Linked DNA regions of Rattus norvegicus. The protein of the gene in region 1 interacts with the protein of each later gene in a biochemical or structural test. Links are inferred from orthologs where the notes say so. Each region holds a gene or a part of one and is shown on either strand. Other genes may lie near its edges.

What was found. The genes of interacting proteins can lie anywhere in the genome.
Region 2: the proteins of Upf2 (region 1) and Upf3a form a complex in vitro, tested with the Homo sapiens proteins (2 studies listed by IntAct, with this or other methods). The link is inferred for Rattus norvegicus from reciprocal best matches to the Homo sapiens genes UPF2 and UPF3A.

What each region holds. Positions count from the first base shown.
Region 1 is NC_086035.1:77,241,099-77,249,147, reverse strand, and holds the start of Upf2 (regulator of nonsense transcripts 2), read left to right. Parts: upstream 1-3,881; 5' UTR 3,882-4,041; intron 4,042-4,127; exon of another isoform or gene 4,128-4,243; intron 4,244-4,657; exon of another isoform or gene 4,658-4,794; intron 4,795-4,934; exon of another isoform or gene 4,935-5,013; intron 5,014-6,524; exon of another isoform or gene 6,525-6,636; intron 6,637-6,654; exon of another isoform or gene 6,655-6,773; intron 6,774-8,049. UniProt on the Homo sapiens protein: Involved in nonsense-mediated decay (NMD) of mRNAs containing premature stop codons by associating with the nuclear exon junction complex (EJC).
Region 2 is NC_086034.1:82,459,234-82,466,842, forward strand, and holds the end of Upf3a (regulator of nonsense transcripts 3A), read right to left. Parts: intron 3,931-7,609; coding exon 3,875-3,930; intron 3,783-3,874; coding exon 3,627-3,782; intron 2,475-3,626; coding exon 2,341-2,474; intron 921-2,340; coding exon 674-920; 3' UTR 418-673; downstream 1-417. UniProt on the Homo sapiens protein: Involved in nonsense-mediated decay (NMD) of mRNAs containing premature stop codons by associating with the nuclear exon junction complex (EJC) and serving as link between the EJC core and NMD machinery.

The sequences.
Region 1 (8,049 bases):
ATCATTTCCATTAGAACATATTCTACATTTCCCCCATATAAAAACACAGCCAGGAAGAGGAAAAGCACAGCAGCGATACAGGGTAGGTTGTGCTAGAGTACATCACCAGCCTGCCTGTGACACTGGGCTTCATCCCAATGCTGGGAAACAGCAAACAAATCCCATGCTCTCTCTCATGGCTATATTTTTCTCTGCTGTTCTTCACCATAAAAATCTCCCAAATATGTCGTTTTCTTTCTCCAGCTCCAGCTTAATCTTCACCTCATCTAAGAGAGAGACCCATCTTTTTAAATATTAGCCTGCCCTATGCAAGGCCGAGATGGTTCCTTGAAAGCTCATCCAATGGTGAGCACACTCTTATTGTATTCTTCATTCTCCCCCTTTCCCTCCTTGGAGCATCTCCTTCCCTTTCATGACACCCACACTCTCACTGGCTTTCCTTTTTCTCATTGATATCTCACTCACAAACCTCACTTTTTTTAAAAAATAGTTTTTACTTTTAATGTTCAGAATTGGATATTAATAAATCTGTTTATTTCCTGCTTTTTTTCTTTATTTTAAATTGGATATTTTATTTATTTACATTTCAAATGTTATCCCCCTTTCCCAGTTTCCCCTCTACAAACCCCCGATCATGTCCCCCCTTCCCCTGCGTCTATGAAGGTGCTCCCCCACCTACCCACCCACTCCTGCCTCACCGTCCTAGCATTCCTCTATACTGGGGCATCAAACCTTCACAGGACCAAAGGACTCCTCCCATTGATGCAAGATAGGGCCCCTTCAGCCCTTCCCCTAACTCCTCCATTTGGGGTCCCCACTCTCAGTCCAATGGTTGGCTGCGAGCATCCTCCTCTGTATTGGTCATGCTCTGGCAGAGCCTCTCAGGAGACATCCATATAAGGCTCCTGTCAGCAAGCACTTCTTGGCATCAGCAATAGTGTCTGGGTTTGGTGTCTGTATATGGGATGGATCCCCAGGTGGAGCAGTCTCTGGATGGCCTTTCCTTCAGTCTCTGTTCCACTCTAAAGTCCGTGTTTCCTTTAGACAGGAGCAATACAGACCTAACTTTTATATACTTAGAAGTTTCTCTGGGGCTAGTCCTAAGCCTTCTGCTTCTTGATAATTTCTTTGGCAATCTCTTACCCATTCTGTGGCTGTAAGAATGGTTCCCTATGTGATGACAGTTTAACTTAGGATTTTTTGACTTTATGATGGTACAAACGTAAACTTACATTCAGTAAAAACTCACATTTTGACATTTTTTTTTGCCTTGAGATAGCAAACTTTGGCCTGGAGGCTAGGCAGCTGCAGTTCCCCGTTGGCTATGTTAAGGGCTCATGAGAGATAGCAGCTAAGGCTCTAAGCACACTGCACTGCTGAGCTAGGATGTTAGGAGGTTAGGGGGCTGAAATAGTTTCAGTTTGGGTTGAAGACGCAAGCCTGTTGTAAATCGAGCAGCACCTGTAATGTTGATGATTAAATTTTCATCTCTCGGGCAGAGTTCCTTCTCCTGTTTCAACTGTTCACTTAATTGTATCTAGCTGGATAACACAGGCTTTAGTGTACTAAACATATGGTTTAGTGCTGGGGCGCAAACCCAGGGTTGTCTGCGTGCTAAACAAATGCTCTACCATTGAGCTCAATCCTTAGCTCCTCTTCTCTTTTGATCCCTGTGATCACAAGATTTCCTAATAAACCTGATAACAAGACAGGGGTTGACCTGTTTAGGATGAGAACTTGTTCATCAATACAGGGGTAAATCTTTTTTTTCTTCTTCCTCTTTGAAAAGTTAAAAGAAAATTCGTGTGTGTGTGTGTGTGTGTGTGTGTGTGTGTGTCTGGCTGGATGTACAGACCTGCACTGCAGAGGCCAGTAGAGAGCACCAGAGTTCCTGGGTCTGGAGTTGCACGGTTGGTTGTGGTCTACCATGTGGGTGCTGGAAACTGAACCCAGTTATCTGCAAGAGCTGCAAGTGATTCTAACTCTTTTTTTTTTCTTTTTCTTCTTTTTTCTTTTTTTCAGAGCTGGGGACTGAACCCAGGGCCTTGCGCTTGCTAGGCAAGTGCTCTACCACTGAGCTAAACCCCCAACCCCGTGATTCTAACTCTTAAGCCATCTCTCCAGAGCCCACATTTTCTCAGTTTTTAAATGGGGTCCTGAGTTAGAGCCCAGGGCTTCATGCAAGATAAGGCAATGTTGTATGTAAGCTCTGTTACCCAGACCCAGGAAACAAACACTTTTTGCTGTTGCTGTTGTTGTTTGAGATAGGATTTTGCTAAGTGTGCCAGGCTGGCCTCTAACTCGTAACAATCCTCCTGCTCCAGCCTCTCAGTACTGAATTACAGATGTGAACCACCACCACACCAGATCTGGAGCAGGGTAAGGCAGACAAATTAAGAAAAGAAAACCCCGGGGTTGGGGATTTAGCTCAGTGGTAGAGCGCTTGCCTAGCAAGCGCAAGGCCCTGGGTTCAGTCCCCAGCTCCAAAAAAAAAAAAAAAAAAAAAAAAAAAAAAAAAAAAAAAAGAAAAAGAAAAGAAAACCCCAAACTTGCAAATGGTCCTCGGTTGTGTGGTATCATAGAAAAAAATTATAATTACTTATCAATGGTATAAATTGCAGCATTCACCTCTTTCCTTTGGTAAGGTACCCTTTATGTGATTAACCTATTGGTTATTTTGAACAAGAAAAAATTAACACAGGAAGTGCACAATTTGAAAGAGAATTTACTTACAACTAATAATGAAGGGAGCAGGGAGAAAGCAAACGAGCAAAGGCTGAATACAAAGGGGCAACGACATCCCAAGCATTAAGGATGCTAACAGATCATTCATTATATGAGCTTGAATACTGGTGTGGCTCCTCGAGTCAAGCAGGAATCCAGTCTTGTTTTGCACCTTTGATCCATTGGCTACAGGCCAGCCAGAGCGGTACCATATGTACATCCAACCAGACCACAATTTCAACACGAATCGGAGGTCAGACGCACATTTATATCCACTTGGGAAAACAGGTTGTGCAGCTGATAACGCACTTCAAAGTCAATTTGGTTCAAGTTCGTAACCCCATCCCTTAAAAAAAAAGGGGGGGCGATTTCATTCCACTGTGGAATTTAAAATACTTACAATAAAGGACTTTTTGTATTTCCCATATGGGAAAAGCCTTGACTGCTCTCAATTCTAGCTGTTTTTTTCAGGCCCAACACCTGAAACTGGTTCTGGAAACCCCCCACCCGTCTAGTCCTACTCCGAAGCAACCTCTACCTTCCTCACCAGCCATGTTCTTTAGCTTCTCCAGTTTTCAATTCCTTAAATCTTCTTCAATCTCTCGGTATTAGTCCAATCAGACTTTGCCTCCTCGAACCCCTTCCCCGCGTTCGCATCAGGCAACCCCCTTGAGAACTGGGTGACCAAACTTGACCCCGACAGCGCCCCGTAATTCTACTATCCCACCACTCTTCTACGCCTCTTTAGAGTTCCGCCCCGCCTCATTCCCGCTCCCCCCGCCCCAACCCGTGAATTGCCTGCGCCTGCGCACCTCCAATTCAGGCGCTTTCCCTTTCCTGACGGCCAATCCACTTCCCGCCTCCGGTCCTTGGAACACTCCTCCCCTCTGCTGGGGCCCTGAATGAAGGTGCTGGAAGAAGCTGTCCTAGATATTGCCTGTATAAAAAATTTACAGATAGGAGAATTTCAACGAATCACTGAAGAAGTAGAGCACCCTCGAGACTGGGTATACATTTATCACTTCAGAACCCGAATGGGGGTCTGGACACGCAGAAAGGACCGGCAGCGATGGTCAATTTGGATTAGGCAGTAATGCGGGCAGCCCTTTCCTTTCCCCCTTCCCTCCGCCCCGCCCCCCTAGCTGCCCGGCCGCGTTGGTGAGTGGCGGGCGGGAGGGCCGACGGGCGGAGGGAGGAGGGGGAGCTGAGGGAAGGCGGGCCCTCGGCTGCGAGATAGGTGGGGGGAGGGGAGGGGAGAGCCCGAGCTCTGGAGTTGGTGCTGGGAAACCCGGGGCTAATGTTGACAACAGGCACTAGGTGAGTCCCAGGGATCCTCCTTCCCCTCCGCTCCGACGATAGGCAAGAGCTGGCGCGGAGGGGTACCGGCCTGGACTCCTACTCCCCGAGGGACCCGAGAGGCGACTCCGCACTCCTGCTCTCCGGGGGCGGCGAGCAGTGGAGGGACGAGCGGGTCGGACGTCGTTCTCCTCAGACCCCTCTCCCGGAGGGTCTGGTCAATGTGAGGGATCTCTCGGCCGGGCCGAGGCTGGCGTGAGGGGCGACAGAAGAGGTGTCTGCCCCACATGCCTGGGCCCAGCCTCGGGGCTGGAGGCGGGGGAGTCTGCTGTGGAGGGGGAAGGTGTTCGGGGGCGTGGAAGAGTGCGTGGAGAGGCTGGGGCGAGCTCCGGAGTCCGGAGGGAAGCGTGGACGGGGGAGCGGGGAGGATGTAGAGTAGTCAGACAAGCTCGAGAGGCTTCGGTGCTGAGGGAGTGTAGGTTGAGAAGTTAGGGTTGGGGCTTAGATGTCCTCAGGGAATAGGAGTTGTGGACGGGAAGTATGTCAATGGTGGGACCCTGAACCACAGCGGGGGTTTGTGGGAGATTTGTGGGTGATGCGTGTGCAGGGGAAGAGGCTTGGAGTGGACCCGCAGATGGTGAGAACTGGGCTGTTTGGGTTTACTTCCTTTTAATCAGGTAGGCTAGTTGATTCTTCGACTCTTCCTCAAGGCTCTCATTACTTCCCTTACGAGTACTGTTGAACTAAAGAGGTGATCACACGGTGTTTGATCTGGTAAGCCAAGCAGAGGCTGCTTACAGGTTTTGGGGATACGCATGGTAGCGAATAGCTCAGCTCTTAGAAAAACTTAAATGTATCAATTGACACGGTAGATGAAAGTAAGGCTCTTAACTGACCCTTCTCATTTGTCATAGTTTTTAGGTGTTCATAAAAGTCGTACAAATCATCGGGCAAGCCTTTATTGAGCTGTGGTGAAATTTCTGAAAAATTTGAGTAAGTCTCACACATACATATAAGATACATAATGACTTTGTAAAAGAATAAACTCAGAGACCAGAAGATATCCCTGTGCTGTTCTACCTTTAGAACATTTTGAGTTCAAAACCCAGACTTGAAGAGTAAACCAGCATTCTCCTACTCTGTAGTATTTTCAGAGCAGTCTGATTGTGATTTCATACATAGACCATATGGTACTTAGCAGACTTATAGCTGTATTAGGGAAACACATCCCTTCTCTGTCCTCTCTCAGGACATTGCCTTAGAATCTGTTTTACTAGTAAAAGAGTCCTTTTTTACTTTTTCTTTTGGGAGTTTAGAATGTAATTAGAAAGGCAGATAAAATAATACAGATCGAGTGCCTAGGGTGGTGTTTTGGGAGCTGGAAAGGTGGTTTTCAACCATACTTTCAGCCCGTTTACAGGCTGTCTGAATATAATTGTAATCCGGCAGAGTAGTTTGTAAAAGTTAATCCTATTTCAACTTCAACACCACTAACTTTTATATTCATTATTTTATTACATGGGGAATTTGGAAACACTTTAGGTGAATTATTTAGCTGCTATTAAATACGAATCTAGCGTTTTTATTAGATTTAATTTATTATATTTAAATTGACAGGATACAAATGTGTCTTGTTGGATTCACGTTTGTTTTTTAGTTAACTTGGTGCGTGTGAAGAGTGGAAAAGAGCACTGGGTAGCTCCTGAGGCAGATGGGTAACCTTGGGCAGCTAGCGCTGTCGTCAGCACCAGAAGCTTGGAGTGGGTAGAGCCCCGTAGTCTTTAATCCTAAAGATCTCTCATCTTGTACCACCTTTTCAGTGTCAGGTGTGAAAGAGAGCTGACATTTATTTAGTGTCTTTCTCTATGGTAGCTACTGTGATGTAGGCTAGTAACTCTAGGGAACACCAGCTCCATTTTATCTGCAAATAAGTAGAATAAACGGAGAAGTTAAGCTGCCTGATTTCCGTAGCTAGTAGGGTCCAAAGCTGGGATACACACTTGAGGCTGACTTGAACACCTGTTCTCTTTGCTCACGTCCCATTGCTGCCTGTACTTTTGGTTATAAATTTGTTAGCTGGAATTTGGTTTTGACAAAGGACTTACAGATCTCTTTGGGAATCTGTTCTGTCATCCTCTGAAGCAGGAAGTGTCTTAGTTTGCTATTGACTGTCACTGTCTATTAGTGTGCTAGTTACTTACATTTACCTAATAAACGAACATTGGTGAGTCATGGCAGTTTGGGACCCTGCAGAGCTTATAAATGATGATCTTTCATGGATTTGTCAGATAAAGAGTAAGATTGTCGATTCTGTGGAAAAATTTAAAATTTAATTTATAAGGAACACTTTAGTTATAAATTCTGATGTTGATTTTGTTGTCTGAGAACTGTGTGTTCTTGTAATCTTGAAATACCTTGTTTATACTTCACATCACAAAATACAAATTCTATAAAATTTTGTTGCATATAACGATTAATACCCTTAAGTAAGATCGTATTGTTACCTTAAACAGGACGTGTCTCCGTAGGTTCAGCCAGTGTGCCAGTAAGCTAAGAGCTTCACGGAGCAAGTGCCAAAGCATTATTAGGCCCCCTGCTGAGATTCACAGTTCTATGACTTGTCATAGTCGGGGTCTGTGATCAAGTCTTCCATCTCACAGGCCGGCGCTCTCAGGGTTCTTAACTTTGGTTAAGACTGTGAATTCACATTCCAGTTCTATCACCAGCTGTGGGGACCTTGGTCAAGTTACTTGGTTAAGTCTCAGTTTACTCATTTATAAGTAGGGAAGACAATACCCACCTCATAAAAGCTTTAGTATTAAGTGAGACAATATACATAAAAGGTTTAGTGTGGTACCTGTGACTAGACACTGGCATTACACTGTTTGAAGGTTGGGTTAGAGCGTGGTGGTGTCACAGTCAAGGCGGTATACACTGCAGGGTAAGAGGTAAATGAGAGTAGCGGGGAGGCTGAAGGAAGGTGGAGGCTGGTACTAAGCTGTCTATGGACCTTCAGCACTCTCCTGGTCTAGGTTGTCTTTCTGGTCATATTTTAACTCTAAAGTAGGAAATTCCTTATTTATTGATACTTTATTATTGCAAAGGCTTTAGTTATTAACCTGGGATTTCTTGCTATAATTTAAATGCTGTACTTGAAAATACTTAAGACAACTTGTACATCCTTACCTTTTTCCAAGACAGCAAGAAGTTTAAATACTTTTATACTTTGTAAATAAAATTGTGATTTTTCTCATATGTAACTTGCAGATAATTTAGAAGTCAAAACATAAAAGCAGTGCCTGAACGTTGTGTGAGATACCTAGCTCTAGTAGAGAAGTGTATTTTTTGAGAAGGCCTACATTTTGGTGAGATATACAGGTTTTTTCTTTCAGTTTATGTAGTTTCCAGTTAAGCATGTGAGTTTGTTTAGTGCTGTCCAAATAGCACATTCTGTGATGGTGGAAATGTTTGGTATCTGCACTGCCCTGCTTGGAAGCCACTGGTCATGAGGAATTGAACACTTGAAGTGCGGTGGCCCTGAGCAACTGAATTACAGGTTTTATTTAAGTTGAATTTGTGTGTAAGTGGCTTAGTGCAGTACTACTAAGTAGTACTACTAGTAGTAGTTTTTCAGCCAGTGATACTTATGTCCCTCAGGAGCATTTATTATCTGGAGTAATTTGTTGTCATTTACCACATGGGAGGCACAGAGGTGCTTAGTTGCTTCAGGTTTATAGGATAACCTTTAAGTTCTACAAAGAATGAATTATCTGATAGGCTGAGGCTCTAGCTCAGTGGTAGAGTGCTTACCTTGTGGGCAAAAAGCCTGACTTTCATTTCTAACACTGCTAAACAAACAAAAAAACCCAAAAAACCCCACCAGACTTGCTCAAAATGATAGCAGTGCTGAGGTTTAGAAACTGGACTACTGGCTGCCCTGCTGACAGTACAGAACAGAATATGCAGGTCTTATTAATCATTGTGCTTATAAACATTCTCTTGTACTAATGAGATTGAAGGCCTGCTCTA
Region 2 (7,609 bases), on another chromosome or scaffold:
GCTACCCTGAATGTGGCTCTGGGAAATGTGACTGAACAAAAGTGACCTTCACATTTCTGCCCAGACCTCTTCTGGTCTGAGTAGGCAGAGCTGACTCATCACAGAAAGCTCACAAGATCTCCTTCCCTCATCTTTTTTCTTTTCTCAAGATTTATTTACTTCATATGAGTACACTGTCACTGTCCTCAGACACACCAGAAGAGGGCATCAGATCCCATTACAGATGGTTGTGAGCCACCATGTGGTTGCTGGGAATTGAACTCAGGACCTCTGGAAGAGCAGTCAGTGCTCTTAACCCCTGAGCCATCTCTCCAGCCCTTTCCCTTATGATCTTAAGGCTGCATTTACAATATTCATCTCCAGTAAATGACTTACACTAAACAATTTTTGCTGGTCAATAAAAACCTGATTCTTTAAAAAGATGATGGAATGTTTTATTCTGAATTTAGTTCCAAGTTCAGTGCATCCCAGATGAGCACGAATGCCCTAACAGACGAGGACTTTGCAATTCCTTCCGCATGGGCATGCAAGCTGACACAGACAGTGCGACCCTGGACTGCACACACCGCAGACTGCTCTCCTCCAGCTTAGTAAGGATTTCTATTTGGGCAAAATGGCTGTGAGACGGCAGAGCACACTGTGTCCGCGCACACCTCAACAGGGAAGACGTCTGTCATACTCCTTGTGCTCCTTGCTGCTTTGCTCTGCCATCCGCAGGGACGCCCCCGTCCTGGCCCCTCTCCCCTCCGTCCTGGGTGAAGCCTTTCCTCCACTTTGGCTCCTCCTCGCTCCTTCTGGAAAACCTGGCAAACTCTGAGTGAGTGCTGTGCTTTCTGCAACTGTCATGGCATCTCGGAGTCTCAGGCTCTTTCTCTCGAAATCTTTTGTCCCTTGGTTCTTTATCACTGCCGTCCTGTAACCTGTGAGTCGATACAAATGGTTAATAACTAAGGGCAGGTAAGCGTCTCCCTTCTACCCTGAATGGGCTGTGTGAGAACGAGCCCACTGCTACAGAGCTGGGTTAGCAGCCATGGGCTCACAGCACCCGACAGAGGACACGGAGAAGATGGGCAAACAACGCTATCTGCACTGGTCCTGACCGGCAACTATACAATGGCACAGCACTAAGGTACGTGGACACAGTGGACAAAGGAGGTGCCATCCCCAGGGGTGGGAGTGGCACTGAAAGAGGTGTGGCCTTGTTGGAGGAAGTGTCACTGTGGGGTGGTCTCTGTGACCCTCCTCCTAGCTGCCTGAGGATGCTGAGTTCTCTGCTGACTGCCTTTGGATCAAGATGTAGAACTCTTGCTCTGTCTAGAGCACCAAGCCTGCCTGGTCACTGCCATGCTCCTGCCTTGATGATAATGGACTGAGCCTCTGAACCTGTAAGCCAGCCCCAGTTAAATGTTGTCCTTATAAGAGTTGCCTTGGTCATGGTGTCTGTTCACAGCAGTAAAACCCTAAGACAGCATGGTACAGCTCAGACAAATGAGTGACATTCCTAGGTGCCCAGGTGAACTGACATCTAACAGTGCCAGATGGACTCATCCACGCTATGGAAAGGTTCAAGGAGTAGTGAACAAGATGCTTGGTTTATCTGGTTCTTGATGTCTTTGCTCACTTGAACCATGGGCACAACCTAGCACATTCCCTCCGAGTCCTAGCCACATGGGAAGCAGGGAATCAAGAGAGGACCGCACAGTACTGCTGTACATACACTGTGAGGCTACAATGCTAAAACGCAGATCAAAGTGCTAAAGACTACGGAGTTGGTAATCCAACAAGTAGAAGCAGCCTTGGTGTGGGCAAGCCTGGGTGTGTGTGGCAGACACGATACCCAGGGCCTGGGCTGTGCCTGCCCCATCAAGGCTGAGCTCCCTCCAGGTAAAGATAAAGAGGCAGGACCAATGGAAGACAGAGCTGAGGAGAAGAATTATAATACTAAGGCCTATCGCTCCACCACAATAAATAAATAAATACAATAAACCAAACCAACAAACCAACCTCCAAAAGGGACCAGCCCTAAAAGATGGGGCTCTGAAACTGTCGTTGTAGGTACCTGAACCGAGTCACACCTGAGAACTTCCTGCCAGCCTCTCTGTGTCGTCCTTAGTACCACAGAGAGACTGCGGAAGAGTTGGAGTAAAAGTGGGTGTGAAATCCCAACACGCCCAGGAAAGCACTCGTAGGTGTGGTTCACACAGAAAGCAGGACTGGACAGCAGACCTGCAGACCTAAGCCGGGAGGAGGCGAGGGCAGGAGACTTCCCCGCTGAGCTCAGACTCAGGCTGCTGGGTCACAGTGTTCACCACGCTAGGTCACTGCGATAGGAGCGCTCACCTCTCCCCAGGTGTCTCCGGCTGGCTCTCCACCAGCCGGGCTTCCTGCTTCTCCTCGCCAGCACCAACGGCTTCACCTCTTTCTTTGTGTTTCTCAGTGGTCGCTTCTTCTCCCGTTTCCAGTTTCTTAAGAAGCTAAGAAATCGTAACATTGATGTGATTTACTGTGTGATTTATTACTGTATGATTTATTACTGTGGCCCAGTGGTTAACCCTTGCTGCTCTTCAAGAGCACCTGGGTTAGGTTCCTGTCACCCACACGGTAGCTCACAACCATAATTAACGCCAGTTCCAGGGGACTCAGTGCTCTCTACTGGCTTCTCCTGGTACCAGACACACATGTGGTGCACATACATACGCATTTTGCTAACCATGGACATGATCCTTACGTATTAAAAGTAACAGTTGGGGCTGGAGAGATGGCTCAGCAGTTAAGAGCACCGACTGCTCTTCCAGAGGTCATGAGTTCAATTCCCAGCAACCACATGGTGGCTCACAACCATCTGTAAAGAGATCCGATGCCCTCTTCTGGTGTATCTGAAGACAGCTACAGTGTACTTATATATAATAAATGAATAAATCTTAAAAAAAAAATCAAAAAAAAGTAACAGTTAATGATGGTTGATGCTTTCTTTATATTGTGTATTCAGAACCCCCTAAGGCATCTCAAATCCTCTGTGGAGTAAGGTGAAATCTCAGTTTTAAAGACTTCTCAGGGGGCTGGGGATTTAGCTCAGTGGTAGAGCGCTTGCCTAGGAAGCGCAAGGCCCTGGGTTCGGTCCCCAGCTCCGAAAAAAAGAACCAAAAAAAAAAAAAAAAAAAAAAAGACTTCTCAGCAGAGCTGATCCGATCCTAACCAATGGATTGAAAAATCTCTTCAATCCATATAAATAAACGCACCTGCCATGGGAAAAACTGGACATGAGGCTGAGACTCCCTTGGCCCCCTGCATCCCCCAGTGCCTCGTCCTAGCCCTGAGGTACTGAGGGGGACACTGAGGCCAGCTGGAAGTTCTCAGGTGCAACTCGCTTCAGTCACAAGAATTTAAAGCATGGATGGGCTCTTCCGGTGGTGTGACCCATTCTACATCACAGTCAGAGGTTGTCCCTGCCTCCTCCTCAGTACACAGGTCATGGGGGACGGCTGAACTCGGGGGACTGTTATAGAATGGATGTAAGGCACTGGGATAAAGGGCTAGATGGCCTACACGTGATGACCTTAAAGAGTTACGGTAGACACTTCAGTGGCGTAACCACGGTGACAGAGCCGCACTGCTCCTGCAGTTACCTTGATCCTCACGTCCTTCTCCGCTCGCTTCTGTTTTTCTGCATCTTTCCTTTTACACCTGTCCTCTTCTCTCCGCTTCCTCTTCTCTTCCTCCCGCAGACGCTTCTTCTCCAGCTCCCTCCTCCTCCGCTCCTCGCGTTTTTCTTCCCGGAGTCTCTGAAGGTACATACAGTCAGACACAAATGTAAGGCTCCTGTGTGGAAGCAGCAGGTACAGCACAGACGCTCACCAGGTCAAACGCCACCTACCTGCTTTTCTAATTTTCTGTTTTTAATATATTCCAAAAGAGGTGTGGTTCTTCTGGCTAAAGAACAAAAATTATAATACATTACACATAACTTGTAAGTTCAGATTTATTTTAAGTACTTATTTCCAATTTAACATTAAAATAATTAGGGGAAGAACACTATCTCTAAAATGTACGTGAGTATGCCCTGTACCTGGGAGCACTCTTATTCTGTTGTTACATATTCGAGTAATTTGTAGGTACTGACCACTCTGTATCCACTGACATACCACTCTTCTAAGTTCTTACTAGCATATATCAATTATGCATAATAATGGGCTACTATGACATTTCTTATACATATAAAATGTACTTTGACCACAGTTACACTCTACGACCTACCCACGACCCCGCCCTCTCCTGCTGACCCTTTTCTTCCCAACTCCTCCTCCTCCAGTCCCCCTTTGTCATTGTTTCCCAATGAGTTTAATCAGAGCTGTTTGTAGGAGGAGAATGGGTATGCAGTTATTTACTGAACCACAGGCGACTGAACAGTGAAGAGAAAGTCACACATTTTTTCTTAGAAAAGGTCATAAGAGAGCCTCAAACTGAAGAGCAGACCCGAGTGTGCTGCAGTCCTGGAGTAACTGAGGTGGCGACAACGCCACGGTTTCCTTGCATGGACAGAAGCTCTCGGTTCTCCTGCGAGCAGTTACAGCAGCTAAGAAAGCGCTTCGAGACAGACCCCAACCCTAACGAGGAGACTCCTGAGGCCTTGGCCGAGGAACCCAAACTGGCAAAGGATGCATTAGGCACTGGTTCTTCAAGAAGAGGCGCGAGACGATGCTCAAGGGGTCGTCTAAGGCCTGCGAGAACTGCAAAATGTGCTGCTGCCACTGTACGTCAAGAGGAACCACCAGGCAGAACCCCAAGGAGTCCCCTCAAAATGACCCTGGACCCGAAGCTTTGGAAGCCTTGAGGAGTCCCACACTCTCTTCTGGGTACCGTAGCAGAGATAACATGTCACGGGTTTCTGACCTGTCAACCTCCTTGTTGGGATTTATGTCTATGGAAGGTACATTAACAATAAAGCTTGCATTCATAGAAACTAAAAGAAAAGCCATAAACTATCGCTCACACAGTTGACAGAAAATGTGTATGTATGACATCGGAAGCGTCTCAAATGCTACTAATTTATTTTTACTTCTGAAGTAATGTTTACAAATTTACTTTCCTGCTATGCACATTTTCAGAATTTTTTCTTCTTCCACTGTTGGGTTTTTTTTTAAAAAAAGATCTATTTAATTTTATTTTATCTGTAAGAGTGTTTTGTCTGTATGTATGATGTGTACCATGTTTGTGCCTGGTGTCTGTGGTGGTCAGAAGAGGCTGTCAGATTCCCTGGAACTGAAGTCAGTAACCGTGTGGGAGCTGGGAACTGCTCTCCTCTACAGAAACAAGTGCTCTCGGTGCTGAGCCATCTTTCCAGCACCGATAAAACAGTCTTTAATACATGCCAACCCAATTTAAAAGTCCAAAATCAAATGCCCCCAAGTAACATTTTGAGCTCTGACGTAACAACACAAGTGGGAAATTCTATACGTACTTTTATGAGATAGGCCAGTCAAAACAGATACACTGCTCCACAGTCTTCAAATGTGAGCGCATGGCGAGAAGATGGGGATGGGCCTGCTCTACGGACCTTTAAGATCTCATAGTGAACAGGCGGGGAAGAATCCTTGGACATACCTGAGAGTTCACGTGATACTGAGGACCTTGGATACCTGGCTAGAGACACATGGTACTCAGCCTCACAGAGAGTGGGCATGCTCAGTAATGCCCACGCATTATGGCAGGAGCTATGTCGTGGATGTAATCAGTCTGGCAGAAATGAATTAACTTTAAAGAGACACATTGGCTATCAGATTTGCAAAACAAAGGATCCCAAGATAAAGTTCAATAAGACTACCTTATCTCTCCTCCCTCCTAATTACAACAGTTTACAGAGCTCAACAAGGAGATGGTGTTTGCCGTGGCCATGAAGTGCCAAGCCTCAGAGATAATCCTAAGCTGGTCCAGTCGGAAATCCTGTCCACACAAGCTTATGACTTTATTTAAACCTTGAACTTCATGTCCGAGATTCTGATTAAAGGCAGACTCAGTTAACTACAGATGCAGCCTCCACGGCCCACATCTGGAATGAAGCTCTGAGCAAGATCCAGCAGGCTGAGGCCCCAAGGACAGACGCCCTCCGTGGGAACAAACTAGGTTCCAATCCTCAAAGAGGACGTCTCAAAGTAGCCTGTAGTGACGCCCTGATGGCAAGGGGACATTTGAGGTGACTTCTGAAGTACCTAAGCTGCCTTTTCTACCTTCATAAATTTAACATGTTTGAGTCAAATCTCGAGTTTTGTCCCCGAAGTCTCCTTGTCTGTCTTTTCTAGGTATACGTGGAGCCACAACTAACTCGCCTGCCCATCTGAACCCCCCTGGTCTTTCGTTCTTTCTGCCCCGGAGCCCCCACAGCCCCCACACTAATCCAGTCATTATCCTCCTTTCTGCCAATATTTGACTTCTAAAACATGCTCGGCATAACACGACAGGCTTCTCTGGGGAGCGAGCTGTCAGCCAGACCTGCCTCTCTCTGGCACTCAGCAGCACCGCGGACATAGCGATAATGGGTGTGAATTAGCCCACGCCTCTCCCTGGGAGGTGGCAGGTGTCAGGGCTCAGCATGGGCTCCTTACATCTCAGCAGTCACATGAGCTACATGCTGTTCCTACAGAGTTTCAGACTCCGGTCTCTTCATTCACTCACTTCATTCACACACTCACTTTTAAACATCTCTTTTCTGTAACTACAAGATGCATATATTGTTCCACTGTGCAAGTAGGGGAGGAAATCGGGAAGGGAATTCATGTGGAAACCAGTAAACCGATTATACGTGAGGTGTTATACAAGTCTTGACAGGTGAGCAGGACATGTTAGGGTGCTCGGTCGTGGGAAAAAGGGTTCTGTTTTTAAAATCTGTATGTGTATGAATACTCTGCATATTTGTGTGTCTACCATGTATGTGCAGTACCCACAGAGGCCAGAAGAGGGCGCTGGATCCCCTGGGACTGCGGTTATAGACTGCTGTGAGCCACCATTTGTGTGCTGGAAATCCAACCCGGGACCTTTGGAAGATCAACAATGCTCTTAACTATCTCTCCAGACCCTCGAGGAGAGGTTTAATACTGAGACCATCAGGAAATGGGACATTTGGGTGGGTCTGAGGCTGAACTAAGTGTGCCTGGTGAAAACCAAAGGGGTCTCATGTCTGCACACATATTTTCTGAAGAGACAAACATTTCTAAAACAGAAGTTCTATGGGGATTCAAACCAGATGCTAGACTCTAGCTGGGCTCACGCACTGACAGAAGAGCTTTCTCAGATTCTTAGCTTCCTGTATGAGCCAAGTGTCTTGTCTCTACAGGCTCCCAAGGCTCACCCGCGGCTGCTCTGCAGAGACAGTAATGCTGTGACAAAAGCTCCTCTCTGAGCAGCTAAGGGCATGCGCTTGTCTGTGGCAGCACGGCCATTTTAAACAAAGGCCCTAGAAGCATAGTCTTCATCAAGAAAGGCTCAGAAATATTTCTCCATGCTATTGCTCTTTGGTAGAAAGAAGAAAATACTGTTTCCATCCAGCCTGTGATGTTAAAAAATGGAGAATTAAACATATACTCCATCAGTAAGCATCTCAATGAACACACAGGCA